Lepisosteus oculatus: one gene and its partners. The protein of the gene in region 1 interacts with the protein of each later gene in a pairwise test. Links are inferred from orthologs where the notes say so. Each region holds a gene or a part of one and is shown in the gene's direction. Other genes may lie near its edges.

The links.
Region 2: the proteins of ric8a (region 1) and gnai1 interact in binary tests that used the Homo sapiens proteins (3 or more experiments, as listed by UniProt). The link is inferred for Lepisosteus oculatus from reciprocal best matches to the Homo sapiens genes RIC8A and GNAI1.
Region 3: the proteins of ric8a (region 1) and rabac1 interact in binary tests that used the Homo sapiens proteins (3 or more experiments, as listed by UniProt). The link is inferred for Lepisosteus oculatus from reciprocal best matches to the Homo sapiens genes RIC8A and RABAC1.

The regions. Positions count from the first base shown.
Region 1 is NC_090716.1:11,899,412-11,907,529, reverse strand, and holds the start of ric8a (synembryn-A), read left to right. Parts: upstream 1-4,620; 5' UTR 4,621-4,782; coding exon 4,783-4,872; intron 4,873-7,694; coding exon 7,695-7,742; intron 7,743-8,118. Other genes in the region: bet1l (BET1-like protein), read right to left, coding at 688-744, 1,139-1,230, 1,908-1,926.
Region 2 is NC_090702.1:34,832,900-34,841,029, reverse strand, and holds the start of gnai1 (guanine nucleotide-binding protein G(i) subunit alpha-1), read left to right. Parts: upstream 1-4,759; 5' UTR 4,760-5,359; coding exon 5,360-5,477; intron 5,478-8,130. UniProt on the Homo sapiens protein: Guanine nucleotide-binding proteins (G proteins) function as transducers downstream of G protein-coupled receptors (GPCRs) in numerous signaling cascades.
Region 3 is NC_090722.1:9,966,679-9,974,620, forward strand, and holds rabac1 (prenylated Rab acceptor protein 1), read left to right. Parts: upstream 1-4,571; 5' UTR 4,572-4,630; coding exon 4,631-4,701; intron 4,702-5,623; coding exon 5,624-5,836; intron 5,837-6,374; coding exon 6,375-6,472; intron 6,473-7,036; coding exon 7,037-7,138; intron 7,139-7,226; coding exon 7,227-7,315; 3' UTR 7,316-7,402; downstream 7,403-7,942. Other genes in the region: dedd1 (death effector domain-containing 1), read right to left, coding at 322-465, 571-711, 1,630-2,104. UniProt on the Homo sapiens protein: General Rab protein regulator required for vesicle formation from the Golgi complex. May control vesicle docking and fusion by mediating the action of Rab GTPases to the SNARE complexes.

The DNA.
Region 1 (8,118 bases):
GAACAAGTGGAATTAATATTTTATTGCTTGTCTGCAAAGAAGATGATTCTGTGTAACAAAATACACCTCAATATATAACACACCCCTGTATACCCACAAGTGGGAGAGAACATGGAGTTTGTAGGCATAAGAATTGACACGACACAAGTGGAATATTTCAGACAGACAAACCAAAATAACTGTTACTAAGACACCTGCAATAGTTGCAAACCAGAGCATGGCTTTAAAACTCTTAACTTTCATGACTCCAGCTCCTATTATTCCTATTATTATAACAGAACTATCAATAGAGTTGTGGGCCCACATAGCTGTTTCCATAATGTTTAACAATCCCCCAAAAATGTATGTAATGTAAAAATCCCCCCAAAAATGTTACTTATCATCAAAGTCATCAGTTTTTTTTTCTGGTGGAGTATATTAAGAGTTTTGCATCATTCAGCTGCAAGTCATTCTTGACCTTAAAGTCAATCCTGTTCCTTTGTTTCCCTTTAGGCTATCGCAGCTACTTTTTCAGTCCTGTCCAGTCACCAGAACAACCAAATAAGGTGCTGCCACAGAATCCTGAAGTTGTAGATGAACAACAGTACTATCACAAACTTTATAATGAACAAATTGCATTCCCAGTCACATTAGCATAATAATGTTTCAAATTCATATCTTATCTTAGGCCCTGCAAATTGCTCTTACCATGCCATCAAGATAGGAATTTTGGTCCTCAGCTTCTTTATCTATTTCAAAGGCCAGCTGTTAAATAAAAGCATAGAAACACTTATTAAGGAGTGCGCAACAGCAGTATCTCAGAGTCCTGTAGTAAATCTTTTGTTTCTGTATGATACGACTGGTAAACTGCATTCTTAGTTCTGATAGTAAAAATGTTGTGAAACAAAGTGAAGCCCAGGTTTGTACAAACACATGAGCAGTGTATTGGAATTCAATACTATTAGAGAATAGTAGGCTTGTCTCTGTATCGGTCTTCTGTAACGGGCCGTTTACAATCTACTTTTGCAAATTAAAACAATGAGATCATAAATCTATTACCAAGTTACTGATAAATGTTTTGGAAAATAAAAAAACGCTTTAAAATCATTTTAAAAACACACATATGCCACAAGGTGTAGTAAGAGGTTTAAATACATACTGATTTTAGTCTGGAGACTTTAGTGGCCAGATTGTCTGCCAAGAGCTTATTCTCAACATCCAGCATCTCATCCACAGCACCAGAGCCATGTCCTTACCACGAGGAAAAACAGCAAGAGAGAAGAGCATCACAAAGTAAGTGAGCACCCGTTTCAAAGCCTGTCTCAAGGCAGCACGAACACAGTTCACAGTGATAATATAAGCATGTTTGAAGACGATCAGACACACTAGAAACAAATTATATAACGCGGAAAAGGAAAACCATTTGAATTAATTATGACCAAGTGTGGGTGCCAGACGAAGCCTTAAAGAAAGCAGAGCTCTGCCCACCCTTGATTACTCCGGTTGATGCCACAATTTAATGATCAGAAACCTGTTTGATACAAACTACTCTGTGTGATCAGCGTTCCTTGAGTAATTTTAAGTAGATTAAACGAAGTAAAAAACCGTCTGAATAATGTTTAGGACGCTTACAGCATGCACATCATCAGCTTAAATGCTGTCTTTATTTTTATGACTCTACTTCGATTCAGCGATGTCTCGTTTGTAACAACTATTATACTCGTTACATTGATCAATTATTAGCTTGATGAAGCATCATAATTATATTTATTTCACTTGTTCTAGTCCAATTTACAACACCTAGTATCCACAACTTTATATACGTTTAACACACTTGTCAAGAGAAACTTTCAGACTATACAACCACACAAAAACACTATTAAACCAATAAAATATTATTTAGAATTGACTACGTGTCCACTTCCTACCTCTATTCCAGTCAGCCATCTTTGTTGACTTCCTTCTTCTGGGAAGAGGGTTAAAGGTAAAGTAACGGATACGTCACATCCTGTTACATTAATAGGGTAATGTTTGAAAGTAAAAATGTTATTAATGTCTCGTCCATATATAATGCTGATTTTATTAGAGTTGCCCTTTGGAATAAATAGATTGGAACATACATTGGCCTTGTCTTTCAATAAAAAAATAAGTGCACTATAAAATAATCCTAAAATATACGCAACTAATCCGATTGTTTCGTTTCTAAATTAAAAAAAATACATCATATTTGTTATTTTCGCCAATCAGGAAGAAAGAAATATCTTTTTGCAAATTACTGTGACAACAAAACAGAGTAAAATTATAAAATCAATTATAATTTAAATTCATTTTGAAATTAAGCAGAACTGCCTAATTTACAATAATTTTGATATATTTGTAACTATTAATAGTTAGAACAAACGCCAGAAGACACATCATCCTGCAGCTCACAGCTCACAGCTGGCAGCCCACTAAAGCTCAGCAGGGTTAATCCTGGTCAGTACTGGGATGGGAGACCTCCTGGGAAGCTATGGCTGCTGCTGGAAGTGGTGTTAGTGGGACCAGTGGGGGGTGCCCACCCTGTGGTCTGTGTGGGTCCTAATACTGTAGTGGGTGCTGTCCTTCGGATGAGACATTAAACCAAGGTCCTGACTCTCAGCGCTCATTAAAGATCCCTGGGCATTTCTCGATAAGAGTAGGGAGTTATTTTAAAAAGATATAATAACCAAATATAATAAAAGTTTTTTTTCAGTGTTACAACAGCATAAGAACAGATACAGATTTAAATATCAGAAGCTTTTAGGAAATGAAACAGAAAGGAGTGATATATTTCTTATTTTAGAGGGGTGGTCATCAGGATAGAAATCAACAACATTCCTCAGGCTGAGCAAAGGCCAAGATCTGTATTGAATACAATTAGCATAGAAGAGGTGGTGGAGTCGCAGGGATTAGAAGCCCCTAAAATTAACAGATAGGCCAGCCAGGGCCTAATGACATCCTACTAATTGGTTTTAAGGAAAGGAAAGATGTAACTATTAACCCTGTAGTGCCAGATTAATTATGTCATCCCTTAGTATCATCCCTTGAGTATACATCCCTTATTTATATCTCTTTTTTATCCTTATGACCAATTTTCATTTCAAGGCTAGAATCTGAGACTCAATCTTTTATGAGGACCATTATTAAAAACCTTTCTGAAAATCTAAATATATCATGTCATATGTCACATCCATAGCTGCTGTTATTTGTTCAAACTGTTCTAACAAGTCAAGCAAGACAGGCTTAACTAACTGCATGGTGACACCCTGGTTAGCATCGTTGTCTTGGACTGCTGGAGCGCTGTGCTCAGTTTTGGACCTGTGAATTAAATACAGATCATTTATGATACATACTTACTGTAGGTGTGTACATCATTTATATGTGGGGAAGGCAGAGAGTGAGTTAGAAATTATGATTAAATGTCTAGAATGTAAATAAAGTGATGTTTGGGCAAAACAGTAAAACACTTTAGTTTTTGTTTTTGTAGAATATTGTGAACATTTTTTTTTTTATCAGCACGTTATAAGAACATCATTACTGCTCTTGAATCATTCCAGAGAATGGTGTCCAGATAAATTCCCATACATCTGTGAGTGTCATATACTGATAGGCAAAATATTTTTAGTCTTGAGCAGGGAATACTACAAGGGGAATGCAAAATCCTTAAAGGCAATCCAATTGACTTCATCAGATTCAACATTGAAACATGAACCAGAGAACATAAATTAAATTTAAATAAGCAGAATCCTACACATTGTATAAACCCACAAGTTTAATGCTACCAGTAAAGGATCACACTTTCCGCATATACTTTCCATTTTCTACACTGTATTGACCAAAAAGAAGGAAAGAAGGACACATAACAACTGAGAAAATATACAGACCTCTGGGTTAGTCCAATTGTTAATTTTGTTAAGGAGAGGAGTAAAATATGACCTGTTAAGTATCATATGTTTAGTACCACGTACTGATTGGAAAATCAGTTTTTTTTAAATAAAAAAAGTATTTTAAAAAGTCTCTACAAGTCCTTTGATTCAACACTTAACTATCATACACATAGAAAATCTTTAGGAATTTTTCCCACCTGAGAATTGATATTGAAATATTTTTGTACAAGTCGTAAGAAGGTTAAGTGACTGGCAACTTTGTCTTTAGTATAGTTTTAGCTTAGTATCGTGATTAGTTTCACTCTTTGTTTTGTTGCAATAGAAGTGTTATTCCTTATTCCAAGGGGGATAATTAAATGAGTCGTGTTGTTGAATTCAAATGTAAAAGCTCATCAAATGTTTGTTAATAAGGCTTGTGAATCGCAGGCTCACTTTTCCAAGCACTTTTCTTTTATATAAGACGATTTGTGGACGGTATGTTCACCAGTTAATTGTAAGAATAACACCAGGGAGAAAGAGAAGAGATACACAAGAAAAAGAGCAAAAAAGAGTGCGGTTTTGCAAACCCTAAATGTACCCTTTTTTTAAAACAATGTGAATATGTCTATCTTAACACCTCGCGTTGTATCAATACATCCCCAGCATATTGTAGCAGTATTACACCTAGAGACTTGCACCTGATCGTGTAGAAACAAAAACGTAAAACTACATTTCCCAGAAATCCTTACGCACGCTTACAATCCTGCGTTAATCTTGTTCCAGGACTTTCGAGTTTCAGGGATAAGAGCTGGTAGAGTAAGGTAACGCAGTGAGACACATCAGAATATTACCCAAAGCAAGGCGTGTATGTGGTTGTCAGTTTGACTTGAACAACAATAACTGCGTCTGTAATACAGCAATGAAAATGGAATTCAATGCCATCATAGAAACGATGCAAACAGGAGACCAAGATGCCGCATTGAAGGCACTGCAGGCTTACAATAAGGAGGTATAATTTAGTATTTTTCATTTTTATACGTATTTGGTTAACATCTTGTATATTTATATATACGATTCGTATCCGTTAACCGTGTTTCCATGTGTGGGCTTCGAAATGCAGGGTATACAGTATCTGTGATTTGTTAGTGTGTTTAGCCGACTACCTTCTATTTTTACAGAAATGCATGTTTTCTGTCATTACCATCCTGACATGATGTGAACATCCTAAGTGTAACATATTTAATAGCTTCGATGTGATCTGGATTAGGGAGCCCTGGTTGTCAGCTTGAATGCATTTAATTTTATTGAATCAAACTGCCATTCACAATGGTACAGTTTGCATTTTTAAATTTTAAATGAAAATAATTAGCCATAACAACAGTGTCGCCCTAAAACGCAGGCGTATATTCTTGGTAGTAACTTTTACATTTATTTCTCAGCATTATTTAACGATGATAATTTTACATAATGGTACATCCACTCGCTGGAATACAGTTTGCCCAGGCTATTTTGTCATTGATACCAATGCTTTTGGATAGTGCAATGCAGGCAGAAATGTAACATTATTTTTTATATCAATAATCACCATCACAGCCTTGAAGAACAAAACGTATATGTAATACTTAAAATTATCTAGATCTTTGTTGGTTTTGAGATACAGGAAGACTGGGGCAATGGTCTTGGGCTGAGAGTGCAAGATACAGCTCTGTGTTAATAGTAGGTGTGTAAAGCACCTTCACCATAGTTGCCATTCTGATAGTGTAGCAAACTATTGATTTATTCTGTGCAGCTGTTATTTCAAGTGTAGTAGTAAATATCTTAATTGAAGTCATTATTATTTTAATATGTAGCTCTGGAACCCAAGCTTCACTCCAAGTTCCTTCTAGCAAGCTGAATAATACATCAGCAGGCAACTTTTTACTATTATTTTTACTTAATGTTTTTTGTGAACTGTTTTTACTTATCAGAGTAGGTACTCCATACAATTGCTTTGATGCAAGTACTGTATATAACGGTCTCTGAAGTTGTGAAATCTGGTGTGGAAATGAAGATACTTTGTGTGTATTTTTTGTTTCTCTACATTTTACATGGTATGACTTACAGATCATTTAATGCAACTAGTTATCACTGTTATAATGAGGGTGTAAGAGCCTCTTATACTTTTAGTGCCTAAATCTGATAAACGTTTTAAAGAATATTAACAGCCTTAGAGTACATCAATACCATCAGATACTTTTAATCAGCAAGGAGCTTGAAATCCATAGTTAAGATTGGGGTTGGGCTTTGTCCTTGTCTTTTTCCATCTCTTGTCAAAGCATTTAAAATGCCCAATGTCGGCATTTGTTTATGAATGTATCTACTGAAAAAGGTTCGACCATTCAACTTTGAAAATGATCAAACACAGCGTGAAAACAGGTCAACTATCAATATGATAAAATCTGATTTTGTTTTTTTCCCCACCTTGTAATCTGTATTTTTGTACATGCAAAAATAGTGCATGCTTATATCTATATTAGCATATGTGATATTCCTTTAAACCCCTGATATCACTAATGGTTCTTTCTTTTCATGTACTTTTCATTTAAATCACACTTAAAGATACTTCTGCAACAGAACATTGAGGTAATTCCTCAATACGCTGCCTTTCTTTGACGTGAATGTCAAGGAACTCCTTTCATCCTGCCCAGGAAGTCTCTGGTCTGTTCTGCGGTGCGTGTTGTGAAAATTGGATTAGATCATTGAGCCATGTGCAGCTCAGCTCATCTGAACTGTCCTGTTATAGACCAGTAAGTCACCTGGTGCCTCACAGAAGTCACGTTGACTACATACCCCTGAACAGTATCTCTGTTGCTCTTCTTCTGGAAGGAACGCTCAGCAGAATGTGATGCTGCTGTACTGTAGCTTTTTGCCCCTAGCACATCTCAAACAGCAACAGACAGAACAAGCTGTTCTTTCAGACTAACACCAGCAGTATCCTAAAGCCATATCCTAATTGGGTTAGAAATGTCATTTCCTGTTGCATGTTGATATACCCTAATTAGCTGTACATAGTGTGGGACTACATACAGTAAAAGAGCAAGCATTTACTTTTGTTGACATTATGTGAAAAGTTGTTAAGTTTACATGAACGGAAGACAAAAACTCATCCCCAGAATACTTCCGGCTTCCACTCAACTTTCCTGTTCTACACGATGGGTGTCATGTAGGTTATCTTCCTTGAAAGGTTAGAATAAGGCCTTCCAGGAGGTAAAACTGAGATACCCCCAGACCAAAAGAAAGAATAACATTTTTAAGCGAGTCTCCACGATACAAAACTGAAAAAAAAGTTTTTGGTTTTAGACAATTTGAAGAAGAACAATGCAAAGATAGAAAGTTGTGGATTGTAACAGGCCATATGTAGAAAGTGATACCCCCATTTAAACATGATCCCAAATGTAGTCATGATCCCTAACTAATCATTATAACAAAGTAAGAGTTGCAAAAATAATGATTATTTTTCTTTCCTGAGACAAAGCATTAATTTGTAAAACATTCTGCATAATTAACAAAAAAACCTTTTTGTCAGTTATGAGTGATTGCTCCTAATAATGCATGAAGGCAAAAAACAAACAAGCTGTTTTTTTTCCCAGCAGGACATATTTCTCCCATTAGTGGTGTTTGTACACAAAGTTGTTAATCAATATCTATCTTTATTCATGGCACCTTTATGTATGTGCCAACAAAAGTGGTTATTTTTTTCTTCTTGGTGTCTCTCATAAATGATGACATTACCTGGATATAAAATGAGTTGCCAAGAATTGATTATATATATTTTTTGTGTCTCTGTTTTAGAAAAGCCAGTGTTTCACATTTGAAGCAGATGAGTGCGAAGAAAGACAGGTATGGTTACTATCTCTTGTTATTCAGTGCAATTATTTAACAGGCTCAGAGAAGTAATAGATTAGCATGCTCTGTCATCACTTTTCAGACTCTTGAAAAGTATGAAGGCAGTGTCTCTGACCTCTGCTTCTTTGTCTTTTTGTCAACTAACCACATTGGTACTGTATAGAGAAATGCTGCTGAACAACAACAAAACCAATCATTTTAATTGTTTACCAGATGAATTAAATAATAAAAATCAAAACACAAGACTTCCAGAAAGCTTTTGTCTTCAATTTAGAGCAAAGCCCCTGATGATTAAAGGAGTTCATTTAGAAAATATCTATCAAATTGTTGTTCTGTATATCAGAAGACATATTTACTAACCTTCAATTTT
Region 2 (8,130 bases), on another chromosome or scaffold:
TTGGAGTTTGTGCAACAAGTCTTACCACCCCAATGATCTCAAGCAATGTGGTATTATGGAGATCTGATAAATATGAAGAAAGACTGTCAACATACCGTTGTACCAATAAATTGATAAAAGCTTGAAAAAATGCTGGTTATTTGAAACAATTAATCTTAATGTTTGTACAAGACGCTCCATTTCTTTATGAACATATAAACATTATGGTTAGCCTGCATTAGCTGAAATCATTTAAGATTTAAAGTAATCAAAGAATGTCTTTTTCCCAGACATTTAAAACATCCAAGATTGTATAATTTTCCAGAATTTTATCATTGACTTTTTCTCTTTTAGATTTTAATAACATTTGTGATTAATGGTTAAAACATACCACAGAAGTAATCCTGTGATTATTGTTTTATATTTTTGTTTTATATGTTTGTATAACTGGCTTATTGTAGTGCAAACTTTGTTGATTTCCAGAAGTTTGCACCTTGACTAGATTTGACAAGGTGAGTAGGGGAGGCTGTACTTGTGTGCAAACTGTCTAGGAATACGTAGGACACTTGGTTGACCATAAAGCTATAAAGTAATGGTCCCCAAGCCTAGTCCTAGAGGACTCCTATGTCTTCATGTTCTCACTGTAGCTGAGTTCTTAATCACAGGCAAACTGATTTCAGTTTTCACAATTTTACATTTGCTTACAGTCCTGAATAAGATGAAAGGGATTTGTTGTTGGTATCGACCATGTACTAATTTCTCATTTTATGGACTGCACAATTCAAGTGTTAAGTGTTAATATAATTAATCACCTACTAAGAGCTGCTTAGTCAGAAATGAGCAATTTGAAGAGAGTCTGCTTAAAGTTCTGTAAGTTAAAATTGCTTGAAACAATGCCCCTGAAACAAGATCATTTTAAAAAAGTGCAGAAACAAACAACGTCTAAACAAGCAAGCAGATCAATTAATGGATTTGCACTGGAAATTAAAAGCTCAACTGAAAAGAAAACTGGCAGACAAAGTGGTCCTGAGGACCACTAAATAAAGAATAATGCTCTTATTTCCAATGTAAGGAATCAAAGCAAGCTTTTGGTGTATTTACAAAGAGTATCCTGTCACCCCAATGTCATTATAACTTATAAAACATATATTTTAAAGAAGACCTTTACAAAATAGTGCAATAGAATGAGGTGGAATTTCACCACCTCCTACTGTATGTATAATTACGTTACACCATACACATAATCAACATCTGCTAAATTACAATATGGTAATGAGTAAAGTAACACTTCATTGTGTCCATGTACACGACAGAACTGAATTGACCTTGTTTTTGTTTATTGTACAAAAATTAAAACAGGCCAGCAAATAGAAGAAAAACTAACATCTACATTAGAAGCATTCAAAAAGGGATAGAATTGTTTTGTTCTTCTCTTTCTCCTTCTTTAGATGGAGACCGATTTGGGAGACAAATGCAGGCATAAACAAAGGACAAAAGAGGTGAGAATAGGCACACAGCAGGGTGAGAAAGATTGTCCAAGTGAGGGAGAGGTGTGAAAAGCAGCAATCTGTACATGAATGGAGAGATTGTAAACAGAAATTAGTCAGTAGAAGAGGGAAGGTAAAATCCACATTTAAAGATAATCTTGGCTTTTAATGTCTTTCTGAAGTGGAGTCCTGCAATCCTTGTAAAAGAATGCAGACAAAAAGGTCAGTGAAATTATGACTGGGAGAGACAAAATGGAGACCTACTGGCTTAGAGAAATCTTTGATCCTCACTACTCACTACTATAATTCACTATTTCTTGAAATGGTCAGAGTGTCTCCTTCCTATTTCAGTGATGTAAATGCAACAGCATTTTCTGTGAAAAGATGTAATAAACAAGTTTACCAGATACACATGTGTTTGATTTTGAAACGCCCTGATGGGTCACATACTGTACATATGTGACACTGGATATGTATTAGCTGGTGATGCAATGACTTCTGACAGGAAGAGGTGCCTGGTGTGACTGGTCGCTGTGGGTGCTTAAGAGAACTGGAGACAAGAACGTTACATACTGTAGATAAGGTGGTTGGTAGTATGAAATGATACACATACTAGATGTGATTATTTTTTATTTTTGTTTTTTACAACAGTAAAACATTTTTTAAATACATTCAAATTGCAGTCCCCACAATAGTTGTGAGTTTCAGAGGGTATGTAGAAGCAGAAGTTGTAAAACCTTCTGATGGAAAAAAAAAACAAGATTCCCCAGGCAGATTACATTTAGAGAACTACACACATAAAGGAGGAAATGTCTCAAGAGTACACTCCCTCTTATTATGAAGATAAGCATGCAATGATACACTTCAATAACCTAAACTATTTTAATGCAAAAAAATTCTTGATACTATTTGAAAAAATGAGACACATTAAAAACTACAAAAGGTATTCTTAAAATGTCATTCTGATGGGTTTTAAATTGAAGGGCTAATTTCATATGAAAGCAAGAAGAAAATAAACACTGTACAATCCACACTTTTAAATACTATATATAAAGTGCAGCTGAGATTTGTTATTAATGATATGTTTTAGTGGTCCAAAAAGTCTTCTACTCAACTACACACAGGTTTAGGAATCCACAAACATTTAAAACCTCAATCAGCCAGATAATAATAATACAGTACATTTTAAGGAAAGAAGATATTTGATTTTTTTTTCCACAGAAAACGCTGAAAGACAAATACTTTTCTGGTAAAAAGCTGATTTAAAACAAAAATGTTATTAGACATGTAAAGCATTAATCTTAGTATGGAATGAGTAATGGAATGTTATGGAAATACTGTGCTACAGTATTTAATATCACGAAACTAAAATTTCATCCAGGAGAGTGCTTAGCCATTTTAACTTCAAATATGAGAAAGCAAATTATTAGTGGTTTAATCAAATTCACCAGAGCAAAACCATGCACAGTGGCAGGAATTCACAAACCTTTTAGCTGCAGAGGGCTCCTTGGTAAATGAGCAGTGGTTGAGAAAATGATAATGATGGTAGGAAAGTGGGCAGGAAAGAGTGCATGCCTAAGCCTCGAATAAACAAATAGCATGGTTAACGTTTAGGTTATGGAAAAGTCCTGTTGCTCCCTGACAAGATTTCTCCCTTTATCACATTTGACAAAGATGAGCTCTTCCAGTAACACATAAACCATTTCCAGACAGCAAGGAGGAGTACTGTATGCTTACATTCTTTGGAGAAATCCCAGGCCTCAATTTCAGCCCGATCAGCCTTCTGAGGACCATACATGAGGCTCTTCAAGACATAATCACAAAAAACAAAATACTCCATTTTGGAAATGAGAAAGTTGTTTGCAAAACAGTTTACTGTGAAACCTCATTTTATCAAACCATCTCATTGTTTTACATTTTTCTTGCAGTTAGGGTGCCTGTGGACTTTGCAGGTTGTGTTCCAGGGGGCATCAGTGTGCACTTCCAATCTCTTCAGATTGCTTACAGCTATTATTTTCACTTCACTGAGATTTGATTCAGTGTATCTTGAGTATAGCCCCCCTTTCATAATTTCACAGGTAGCCAATACAATTTACATAAGACTGGAGTTCTGTGTCGATGCAGATTACAATTCTTAGTACGTGCTATATAGTACCTTAGAAGACAACCTAATCTGTAAGGCATTACTTAACTAAAATAAATACCTACCAATATTTATGTCAGATAGGCAGAACAATGCCAATGGCCCTCTCCATTGCTTCTGGTGACATTCGAGGCATTATGGAATGCACAGAAAAGTGTGGCCTTTTTCTTACAGTGACCTAAGCTTTGAATTAAGGCCTTTTTAAAGGTGACTTGATCAGGTATTGTTCCACCTGGACCTCATTGGGTAAAAGGGTACCTAATGAGCTTTTGTGTGATTGGCAAGTTGCAATACCTCACTGCACGAGCTGTATTGCTAGTCAGGGGGCTTAAAACAAACTGACAACTTTTTGTGAAAGTTCGTAAACTATAACTAGGATTCTCAATCCAGAAAATATTTTATTTTTTCTATCAGTATACTTCTAAATGTTGGCAAGTAAGGTGTATATGATATGAGATTAAAAAATAAAATTTAGATATAATTACCAGATAAGTATACTTTATGGTGAAACTAAATATGTAATTGTTTAAACATTTCATATAAATATTGAGATAATGCTGATGACAGTGACTGTGTTATGTGAGCTGCATATCTGTCACTTAAATTGTAAACAGTTGTGGTAATGCTAAATCTTAATAAGTAACGGGAAGACGATACAGAGATACAACGTCGCATCTAAAAATGGAGACGAAAGCCGTCTATGACGATCTGAAGAGGGTGCACCTTAATGTGACGTTTGTCAAACAAATGAGAATTATTTAACTGGCTTCTGGTTTCCTGAAATGGGATTCTGAACCAAGACAAAAAATAACGATTCCTTTGATATTACGACTACAAAAATGCAACGTGTAGTTGGGAAAGTATATATTCCCGTGTTGATTCGGAAAGTGAAGTGAGCTGTCGAATAGTCTTAACATTTGGGGGACTTTTATTTGCCCCAAACCACAAGTCAAAAACCAAAAATACACAAACTCAAATTTAACAACCTTAAGCGAATACAAACTGTCATCGGTAGTGACTTAACGACTCTTTGTAGGGTATCTTAAGACGCCATAAAACCAAACGTACCCTATACTTCCCAAAAGTTACAAAGCAGCACCGCGTCACATCACTGAGACGGACAGGGTGGAACCTGGTGGCATGAACACGGTACCTCCAGCTGGTTGCATGAAACTCAAAATGCAACAACAAAGGAAACGCTCAGACACTACGCGCTTCCTTGGCTTATTGTAATACCAAATGAAGCATGACATTCACCGAGGGCAGAGGAGCTAAAACATTACGCCGCTGAGACACAGCAGATGCGGCGCAAGAACCAGACCGAGGGGCTCCCTGAAATGGGCGCGTGCCTGCCTGCTAAGACGCGTGCGCGAGCCCCAGCGTTTGAACAGGAAGCAGCAGCAGGAGTCGGTCAGTCGAGTGACTGAGAGGAGGCAGTCGGCGCTGGCTTACGGTCCGGGGCTGTATTCTCCACCCTCAAGAGGGGAAAAAACACTGATACGAGTTCAGTTAGATTAACGACGGGGAGTTGTAGATCACGTCTACTTTTTTTGTTTTGTGAAAGTCGCTCGATTATTCGTGTCGAGTGAACCGTTTCTTTTTTTGGTTGCCTGGAGTAGGGCGTGTTTGTGTTTTTTGTTTCCCGTGGACCACCCCCTCTTCTCTCCTTTTCCCCCGATTCTTGCATGTTTGTGCTGGACAGATTTAATTTTCCAACTTTCGTACTGCTGCGAGACGTTTCGGTCTGAGGATGGGGTGCACCTTAAGCACTGAGGACAAGGCGGCGGCGGAGCGCAGTAAAATGATAGACCGGAATCTGCGGGATGACGGAGAGAAAGCGGCCAGGGAGGTCAAACTGCTCCTTCTCGGTAAGGAAAGGAGGGTGGCAAACTTTTCGAGCTAATCGTGTACAGTTTGCTTGTGTTGCTAAGCCAATCCCGAGTTTCAGCTGACGGATCAACGTAGCTGAATGAGAAATTTTAATGAATGTGTAGATATATGAATGGATACTTTTTTTTAATGTCTGGAATCTCATATCTTTTTTTTTATGAAATAGCCCTTTTCCCCCCACTAAGATGACTACATAAGCAATGTAGGAGCAACATGTATAATTATCCTGGGAAGGGTCATTTAACATGCAACATCTATCGGTTTTGATGGTTGTTTTCCAAATTGGCGAAACGACTTTTTTTTTTGTGTTCCTCCGTGCGGTAGTGGGGTTAGCTACTCGTGAGGCGTTGAGAAGAAACTCTGTGAATGCGACAAAAATGGCCACAAGAGGCTAATTCTTGCATTGATTTCTTTTGTGCTTCAGCCGTGCGGTTACCATTTTTGGGGAGGTCCAGGCGCCTTGTAGGAAGCTTGCGAGAGTGAAGGCAGGCCGAACTGTTTCAGAGGCCCACAAGCGCCTCTTGGCTTTATTTTTGCGAGAAAGGAGCTTTCAAAACCCACCTACCACCATTTCCTAGTGATGGGGCTTTGGTTGCGTGTGAAATTGCTTTCAGTAGGATTGAAACCTGTTGATTTGTGATATTGTTCCCCAGCTGATTCAAAATGGCACAAGTGAAACAGTTAAATTACCATTTAAATTGGGGAGATGTTTGATTTTTTTTTGTTTTACAGTAGTTTCCTGTCAGACGTCAGCTAAGCTTCCGTTATAGGCTCGGCGTTTGTATCTGTTCAGCTTTAAAATGTCTTTTGCAGTTGCGTCACACTGTTCTCTTAAAACTTTTTGGGTGGATGTGCGTATGCAGCACCTGATGTTGATTTTCACAGTCGCTGGCGAGGCACGAATTCAGCAGTTATTATATGGCTTAGAACAATCGTTGCCCACAAAATACATGTATTGTTTCCACTCACACGTCGTTAAATGGACTTGAGTAGTATGTTTATTGGTAAATTACTTGCATAGCCATTGCGTGCACACAGTACTGAGTGCATGCAGCGATCTAGCCTATATACCTACACGGCAGTTTCAAAGATGCTAGCTTGGAGATAAAATTAATTCTTTGAAGTGTAGCAGTGGAAGAAGTCAGTGGATATTTTAACAGGCTCTCGCAAGTGGCACCTTTCGGATTTATATAGATAGCGCGTTTGACTGTGTACATTTTCTTCACAGCCCAAGTAGAAACAAAGGAACTGTACCTGTGCTTCTTATTCTAGTTAACAGTAGACCTCTCTTTCCTGGCCTCTTGTCTGTTAAAATACAACTTTAGTTTGGGCAAATGAGTACGAATAAAAAAAAGTGTCCATTGGAGTTGTACCTCGGAGCAAACTACATAACATTAATTGACGCGTTGTATTGAGTATAAAATATATCAGAAAGATAATTTGTTCAAGTGCGCATCTATAATGTGAAGCAACAATTTGAAGCAAATCTAATACTCTTCACTTGCTTGTCTTTCTTTTAATATTCATTAATTGTTTTTGGTAAGAATGCAACAGGTGATTTGCTGGATTTTAGATTTTTTTCTTTCAGTATAATTCAGCAAAAGAGCTTGTTTTGAATGAGAATTCTTCTAGATGATTGCTAACAAATTAACTATTGATGTAGCCTTTTTCCTAAAGATCTTCTATATGTAATACAGGTATAGACCATTTTGAGCTTTTTTTTTGTAATTTTAAGAACACGTATCTTAGTTATGTGCCAGTCTTTAGTAGATTTTTGAGGAAAACATAATTTCTAATTATTAGACTACAAGAAAGTTGTGCAGAGAGAGATGGGCATCTCTTTTGGCTCAATGCTGAAGGCTTATTATTTTAATGAAAACTGACATATATTTTGAATTTGCAGTCACGTGTTGAATATTCTTAACCACCTGTTGGTAAAGACGTAAAATTCATAGTTTCCTTTCTCCTGTCACTTGATCTATTGTAGAAATCTGTTTGTGTCCTCTAGCCTTCTGGAAAGAGCCATATGTTAGAGCTCAGTGTAATGTTGCATGAGCTATTCACCTTGAAAGTCAGAAGGTGTGTGCCGTTGCTGCTCTGATGCATTTGCGTTTCCAGGTAACATAGATAGCTAGTTCAAATTACAGGCAACATTGGTAAAGACTCAGCTGCACTAAGCGAATGAAACAAAAGTAGACTGAGATCAGTCATTTGCATTAAAAATTAAGTGGGTGCTTTGCTGCTCTTAGCCTATCAGCATGTTGAAAATTATAAAGTCTGTGGTTAACTAGAATGAACAGGATTTAGAGATGCACTGTATCCTGACCTCATAAGTATCAGGGGATTTCTGTTTTTGTGGTTGAGGCATTGTCACAAATGCTACAGAAGATGTACCTTATTATGGTACTGTATTATTAATGTAGAGAGATGGATATTTGAACCTGTTTACGTAAAATGTAAAATCTTCATAAGGGTTCAGTTCTCTCACTTAGTATTCGGTATCGTGAGCCCACCATTAACACTTACAATGTAACAGTATGTCTTTCTGTGATGACATGTTGACAATTAGACTTTCCTGCACTGTCAAAGTGTCTGTAGGCCTTTCAGGATTAGGTGTCATGTAATTGGTTT
Region 3 (7,942 bases), on another chromosome or scaffold:
TGAGAGACACAGAGGGGTCCGGAACCGAGCGGCGGGGCCCTCTGGGCCAGGAGAAGCAGGGACAGACGCAGATGGGTCGTCACTGAGCTGCGGGACCCGTCTGGGCCAGGAGAGACGCAGAGCGGCCCGGGGCGGAGCAGCATCGTTGACTAAATTAAAGTGACTTAACTGGCCCACACCCCCCAGGTGCCGACGGTCACCTGACCCCGCCCTGGAAACCCCGAACCCGAGCCGTGGCGCGGGCTGGCGGAGTGTCTGAGGACGCACGAGGGGAGGAGGGGGGCTGACGGGCAGGCGGGCGGACACGCGCGGGGCTCTTACCGCAGGTCACACGCTCGCGCTGCTGCCCCGGCCGCGGGCCCCCCTGGGCTGGACCGGGCCTCTCCGGGGCGGCGCCGCCCCCCCTGCGTCTCCGACCCCGGCCGCGCTTCTGAGGGCTGGGGCTCGGCCTGGACGACTCGACGCCTGGGGAGAGAGAGAGAGACGGGCGGGTCAGGCTCTGGAGACCCATCTGCTCACACCCCCCCACAGACCACAGGACAGGACCCCCACTCGGTGCGCCCCACTCACCCGCACTCCACTGGGCCCCGGCGCAGACCGGAGGAAGGTCTGTCTGTCCACCACAGTCCTTCTCTGGCCGCTGGGAGGAGCTCACTGACGCTTCACCCCCGTACCCCAATACCGGGACTGCGCTGACACGCTCCGGGGACACTGAGAGAGAGAGAGAGAGAGAGAGAGAGAGAGAGAGAGAGAGAGAGAGAGGGTTAATACAGACACACTGACTGGACACTCCAGTACATTAACACTGCACTGAGAGAGAGAGGGGTTAATACAGACACACTGACTGGACACTCCAGTACATTAACACTGCACTGAGATAGAGAGGGGTTAATACAGACACACTGACTGGACACTCCAGTACATTAACACTGCACTGAGAGAGAGGGGTTCATACAGACACACTGACTGGACACTCCAGTACATTAACACTGCACTGAGAGAGAGAGGGGTTAATACAGACACACTGACTGGACACTCCAGTACATTAACACTGCACTGAGAGAGAGAGGGGCTAATACAGACACACTGACTGGACACTCCAGTACATTAACACTGCACTGAGAGAGAGAGGGGTTAATACAGACACACTGACTGGACACTCCAGTACATTAACACTGCACAGAGAGAGAGGGGTTAATACAGACACACTGACTGGACACTCCAGTACATTAACACTGCACTGAGAGAGAGAGGGGTTCATACAGACACACTGACTGGACACTCCAGTACATGAACACTGCACTGAGAGAGAGAGGGGTTAATACAGACACACTGACTGGACACTCCAGTACATGAACACTGCACTGAGAGAGAGAGGGGTTAATACAGACACACTGACTGGACACTCCAGTACATGAACACTGCACTGAGAGAGAGAGGGGTTAATACAGACACACTGACTGGACACTCCAGTACATTAACACTGCACTGAGAGAGAGAGGGGTTCATACAGACACACTGACTGGACACTCCAGTACATTAACACTGCACTGAGAGAGAGAGGGGTTAATACAGACACACTGACTGGGGGGTTGGGGTGCACACACAGAAAGGGGGTACAGGCCTCACCCGTCCTCCTCTTCTTGCGGCTGACGAAGGGCAGCAGGTCGTGGCGGGTCAGGACGCGCAGCAGCTCCAGCAGGGGCCCCAGGCGGGACTCGCTGCAGTAGCCGCGCCGCTCCAGCTCCAGCAGCAGCTCCACGCCGCACTTGGGGCGGTGGCGGGCGGCGAGCGGCGCGGGCGAGCCGCGGGGCCGCAGGCGGCGCCAGGCCTCCAGCAGGCGGGGGCCGGCCCGGGGCTCGGGCTCGTCGGCGGCCGGGTCCGGGGTCCAGCCGGCCGGGTGCAGCGGGTGGGCGGCGGGGCAGGTCTCGTCCAGCAGGAAGGACAGCACGTCCACGTCCGTGTCCGTGAGCTGCGAGCCCACCACCTCGAAGAGCTCGTGCAGGGACTGCATGCCGTAGTAGGTCAGGCACTCCGTCTCGTCCCACCACAGCGGCCGGCGGGCCGGGGCCGGGCCCGGGACTGGGACTGGGACTGGGGGCATGGCCGAACCGGCGGGCCTGGGTGTGGGTGCGAGTGTGGTCGGAGGTGTGGGCGTGGGCGTCCACGCAGGGCGGGCCGGCCGCGCTGTTGACAAACAACCCGGGTCACGTGCAGGCGTTATGTAAGCCCACGTGCGCCCCTCCTCTCCGGCTGGCCCCTGCGGTGACGTCACGAGCTCGCGGAAGAGGTGCGGGTGGGTTGGAGGTGTGTGTGTGTGTGTTTCCGCGACACAGAGGCGAGTCTACCCCAGCTGTCCCGTCGTGTCTCGCCTCCCCCACCCGTGACAAGCGGTCTCCAGATCCGTCTCCCCTCTGCTGCGCCCGTCCCGGGGCTCCGGCCAGCGGCGGCTGTCCGCAGAGTGACCGCTCCGGCCGGACCTGTGTCACAAGCGCTCTGCTGCGGTGCGGGTCGGAACCGGGCCGGGATCCGGGCGGCTGGCTGTGCGCTGGCAAGTTCAAAGCTCGTCTAGTGTCCGGGCTGCACAAACCCTGTCCGCTCTCTCTCGCGACTCGTCCGCTTCTAGCAGCTTCCAGAAGCAGCTGCGCGCATGCGCGACCGCCCCTCGCCGAGCGGCCGCCATCACCGAGGCACCGGCCAATGGGAGAGGAGGGTCTGCCGCACGTGATCTGCCGACGCCGAGAGTCGCCATGTTGGGAGAGGAAGCCTGCCCCCGGGCGCCCAGGAGACGGAGGAGGACAGGTCTTCCTGACAGGCTCGCTCACAGGTGGATAGGGGCGAGACTCGCGATGGCCGGCGAAGGAAGTTGGAAGCAGGAAGTCCGGATAGCCTTTTCCTGATTTCTGCCCGGCGTGTAGCTCGAGCTGTTCGTACCTGGAAAGGCCGTTAGAGCTGTGAGCTGGTACAGGCTGGTTACCATCGAGCCCGGACCCTGTGCTTCTCAGTGGTGACACGTGTCTGAGCGCACAAAACACAATATTCAAAATCAATCCTTTTGTTCGATTAAGGATTTGATAAGTTGCGTTACTTGCGTTGCTATCTCTGAACTGGCTCCATCACTCTGCTCTCCTCCCCACTGAGAGCTGGTGTGTGGGGAGCGGACTGGCGCATCATCCAGGTGGGGCTGCACACTGGTGGTGGTGGAGGGGATCCCCATGACCTGTAAAGCGCTTTGACTTGAGTGTCCACAAAAGCACTATATAAGTGTAAGGAATTATTTTTATTACTTAAGAGCGCTGCTGGCATGAAGCGGATCCGGGGCTCTGTTTGGCTGCCGGAGGCGCTATCCCGAGCCTGGCCGCTAGGGTGCAGAAGAGGGGCCTGCTGCTCGGTCGCCTAGCAACCAAAAAGTTGACGCCCTCACTGAGCTGCCAAACCGAGTTACCGTAATAACTGATGTAGCACAGACGCGCAACTTGGGTTCCTCCACAGTTTCCTCCACAGTCTACGGTTTGCGTTTACATAGCGCTGGTGTTCTCCGAGTGTGTGGGAGACGCACAGCGGTCATTCTGCACCAGTGGCCCCAAATTGTCGTTTCACGACGGTAAGATCTCATCCCGAGGGCAGTGCCTTGTAAAGGACGGTGTCCCTGTTCACCATACTGGGCCAGTGGGCTGGAAATTCTGGTCCAGAGGGAAGATAGTGGTGAGGTGCTCCACCAGCACCCCCTGACCAAAGCAGCCTCTATGGTCCCACACTGTCCAGATACCCCTACTGGGGCTGACCTGTCTCTCACAGTCTTCCTGAGCGAAATGCACCAGCGCTCGCACCCTGAGCTATAGATGTGTAGGCACCCCATTTGCCAACGGGGGTTTGACAGAGCCGGCCTGCGCGCCGTGCTGCAGACACGGAGGCGCCGAGAGCTAATTCCGGCTACCCGTCTATCAGGCGATTTACGGTAAATAGCCAGCTCGTTGGCCGCCCTACGGGGACACGTCACATCCGGAACTGAGCCGGAACACAAAGAGAGCATCGCCGAGGGTGAGTGTCTCGGAGTTCCTGAGACATATATAATTATTTCAAACCTTTTAATACTGTTTGGGATCAGACTGGGGATTGAGCAGCGGTGTCGAATTGCGGCTGTTGGTTCGGTGCGCGGGGCTAATGGGAAGAAGTGTCTCCAGTTCTTCCTGCTGGAAAACCTGGCTCACTCGAAAATGGGAAAAACCTTCCAATTGGAAAAAAATATTCACGGTCCTCCATTGGTATTAACGCCGTCCTGGTGAGAACAGACCACGTCGTTTACGTGTTAATAATAATAATAATTATTATTATCTCACTCACTTTCTAAACTCATCTTTACTGTTTGTTTTGTTTGGAACAGTGACGTAGAGAGGGATGTAGTGACGTCGTTGTTCTGGTAGGTTGGGTGATGACGTTATAGGCTGGCACGCAACGCGCCGAAGCTCACTCACGCACTCCCACGCGTGGAATGTGTGGCCCTGCGGGGTGCAGGGGGCAGTTTGATTCGTCCTCGTACGTCAGTTGAGTTCCAGGGGGATGAAGCTGGTTTTTTGTCCTTCTGTCCTGGCGCTGTCCGGGAAGCAGCAGAGCCGACAGCGGGACAGCGATGGCAGGAAAGACGGGGGATGTGTTCAGCGGGGAACCGGGAGAGCCGGCCGGAGGAGGACTGGCCGGGAAGTAAGTTCCCTTCATGGAAACGCTGTTGTTTTCTTAATCCCAGTGAATCACTAATCCAGCTCCCAGTCCAGTCAGTCCAGTCCAGCCTGGAGAGTCTCTACACTGTGTGGGCCAGTGCAGTGTCAGTGGGGTCAATGACAGGGTCAGGGTTAGTAGGGACAGTTCAGTGTGGTCAGTGTCAGGGTTGGTAAGGTCAGTAAAAGGTCAGTGTTAGGGTCAGTACAGTCAGTGACATGCTCAGGGTCAAAGACAGGCTCAGGGTCAGTGTTACGGTCAGTGTGGTCAGTGACAGGCTCAGTGTCAGTGGGGTCAGTGTTAGGCTCAGTGTGGTCAGTGGTGTCAGAGTCAGTGACAGGCTCAGTGTCAGTGGGGTCAGTGTGGTCAGTGACAGGCTCAGTGTCAGTGGGCTCAGTGGTGTCAGGGTCAGTGACAGGCTCAGTGGTGTCAGTGTGGTCAGTGACAGGCTCAGTGTCAGTGTGGTCAGTGACAGGCTCAGTGTCAGTGGGGTCAGTGTCAGTGGGGTCAGTGACAGGCTCAGGGTCAGTGTGGTCAGTGGGGTCAGGGTCAGTGACAGGCTCAGGGTCAGTGGTGTCAGGGTCAGTGACAGGCTCAGTGTCAGTGGGGTCAGTGTCAGTGGGGTCACTGACAGGCTCAGGGTCAGTGTGGTCAGTGGTGTCAGGGTCAGTGACAGGCTCAGTGTCAGTGGGGTCAGTGACAGGCTCAGTGTCAGTGTAGTCAGTGGGGTCAGGGTCAGTGACAGGCTCAGTGTCAGTGGGCTCAGTGGTGTCAGGGTCAGTGACAGGCTCAGGGTCAGTGACAGGCTCAGTGTCAGTGTGGTCAGTGACAGGCTCAGTGTCAGTGTGGGCAGTGTCAGTGGGGTCAGTGTGTGCTCCAGCAGGCGGTCACTCTCTCTGTGTCGCAGGCTCTGGCTGCCGCGGGGGCTGTCCGGGGGCGTGGCGCGGGAGTGGCTGGAGCGGCGCCGCGCCGCCATGCGCCCGTGGGCGGGGTTTGTGGACCAGCGGCGGTTCTCCAAGCCGCGCAACTTCGGGGATCTGTGCCAGAGAGTCGTCCGCAACCTGGACACCTACCAGAGCAACTACACCTTCATCTTCCTCGGCCTCATCCTGTACTGCATGTGAGTCCAGCAGCGGGGTCACGGGTCGTGGGTCACTGCTGGGGGGGGGGGAGGTCATGGGTCACAGGTCACTGCCGGGTGGGGTCACAGGTCGCAGGTCACAGCCCTGGGGGGGGTCATGGGTTGCAAGTCACTGCTGGAGGGGGGTCATGGGTCACAGGTCACTGCCGGGGGGGTCACAGGTCGCAGGTCACAGCCCTGGGGGTGGGGGGGGTAATGGGTCGCAGGTCACTGTTGGAGGGGGGTCATGGGTCGCAGGTCACTGTTGGAGGGGGGTCATGGGTCGCAGGTCACTGCCGGGGAGGGTCACGGGTGGCAGGTCACTGCCGGGGGGTCATGGGTCACAGGTCACTGCCGGGGGTTGCAGGTGGTTACCAAGGCGTTGCAGATCAAGGGTCACAGGTCACAAGTTGATGCTGAGGGATCGTAAGTCACAGGTTTCAGGCGTTCACTGACCCTGCATGGACAGAAGTTGAGGATTTTGAACACTCGCTCTGTCGCAGTGAAATGAAGCAGCTCTGTCTCCTGTCTCTCTCAGCATCAGCTCCCCGTTGCTGTTACTGGCCCTGGCTGTGTTCGTTGGCGCGTTTTATGTCATCCACCTCAAGAGCCTGGAGAAGAAACTGGTGCTGTTTGGTGAGTCCGTCTGTCTACACCTGTGCAGTGCAGTGTTCATGTACTGGAGTGTCCAGTCAGTGTGTCTGTATTAACCCCTCTCTCTCTCTCAGTGCAGTGTTCATGTACTGGAGTGTCCAGTCAGTGTGTCTGTATTAACCCCTCTCTCTCTCAGTGCAGTGTTAATGTACTGGAGTGTCCAGTCAGTGTGTCTGTATGAACCCCTCTCTCTCTCAGTGCAGTGTTAATGTACTGGAGTGTCCAGTCAGTGTGTCTGTATGAACCCCTCTCTCTCTCAGTGCAGTGTTCATGAACTGGAGTGTCCAGTCAGTGTGTCTGTATTAACCCCTCTCTCTCAGTGCAGTGTTAATGTACTGGAGTGTCCAGTCAGTGTGTCTGTATTAACCCCTCTCTCTCAGTGCAGTGTTCATGAACTGGAGTGTCCAGTCAGTGTGTCTGTATTAACCCCTCTCTCTCAGTGCAGTGTTAATGTACTGGAGTGTCCAGTCAGTGTGTCTGTATTAACCCCTCTCTCAGTGCAGTGTTAATGTACAGTGTGTCTGGATGAACTCTCTCTCTGTCTAGGGAGGGAGGTCACTGGGGGACACCAGCTGGCCCTGGCAGGAGCTGTGTCCTTCCCTGTGTTCTGGTTGGCTGGAGCAGGAGCAGCTGTGTTCTGGGTGCTGGGTGAGTTCCTGTCTGACTCCTCCCTCTGCTCTGCTCCTCCCCTTCCTGTGCCGCTGTACTGAGGCGTGTCCCTGCTCCTGTCACTCAGGTGCAACGCTGGCTGTGATTGGGTCTCACGCAGCCTTCCGTGAGCTGGAGAACGGGGACCTGGAGGAGCTCACCATGGAACCCGTCTGACCCCTGACCTCCTGCTCCTCTTCACCCTGTTTCCCTAGTTACTCTTGCCTCTTTGTCACACAAATACTCAGTCATTGTGACGACGCATTTCCCTGTCTGTCTGTATTTATTATCAAGGCACTGACTGACAGTACTGACAAGCTGATACCGACAGACTGACACACCGACAGACTGACACTCTGATGTAGTGACACGCTGACACAGCGACACACCCACACACACGGACACGGTGACACACTGACAAACCCACACACACTGACACACTGACTCCTTTTCCCAGAGCAGTGCTGGCAATCTGAAACCTTCCTTTGGCCAGTCTGATCTATTCCTGTGCTGTCAGTCAGACTCCCAGTGCACAGCAGTCTGATCCGCTCCAGGTGTGACAGGGCTGTCAGTCAGACTCCCAGTGCACTGCAGTCTGATCCTTTTGCACAGAAGGGACTCCCAAGTGGAGTAGATCAGTCTGCTGTGCACTGGGAGTCAGGTCTGGAGTGGGTTGGTCAGCTTTACTTTAGATGTCTGAATAGCTGTCTGGTCCAGGGAAGACCAGACTACAGAGCTCTGCGAGTCTTGAGTATGCACAATATAAAACCAGGCATGGATCAGCCTGCTGTGCACTGGGAGTCT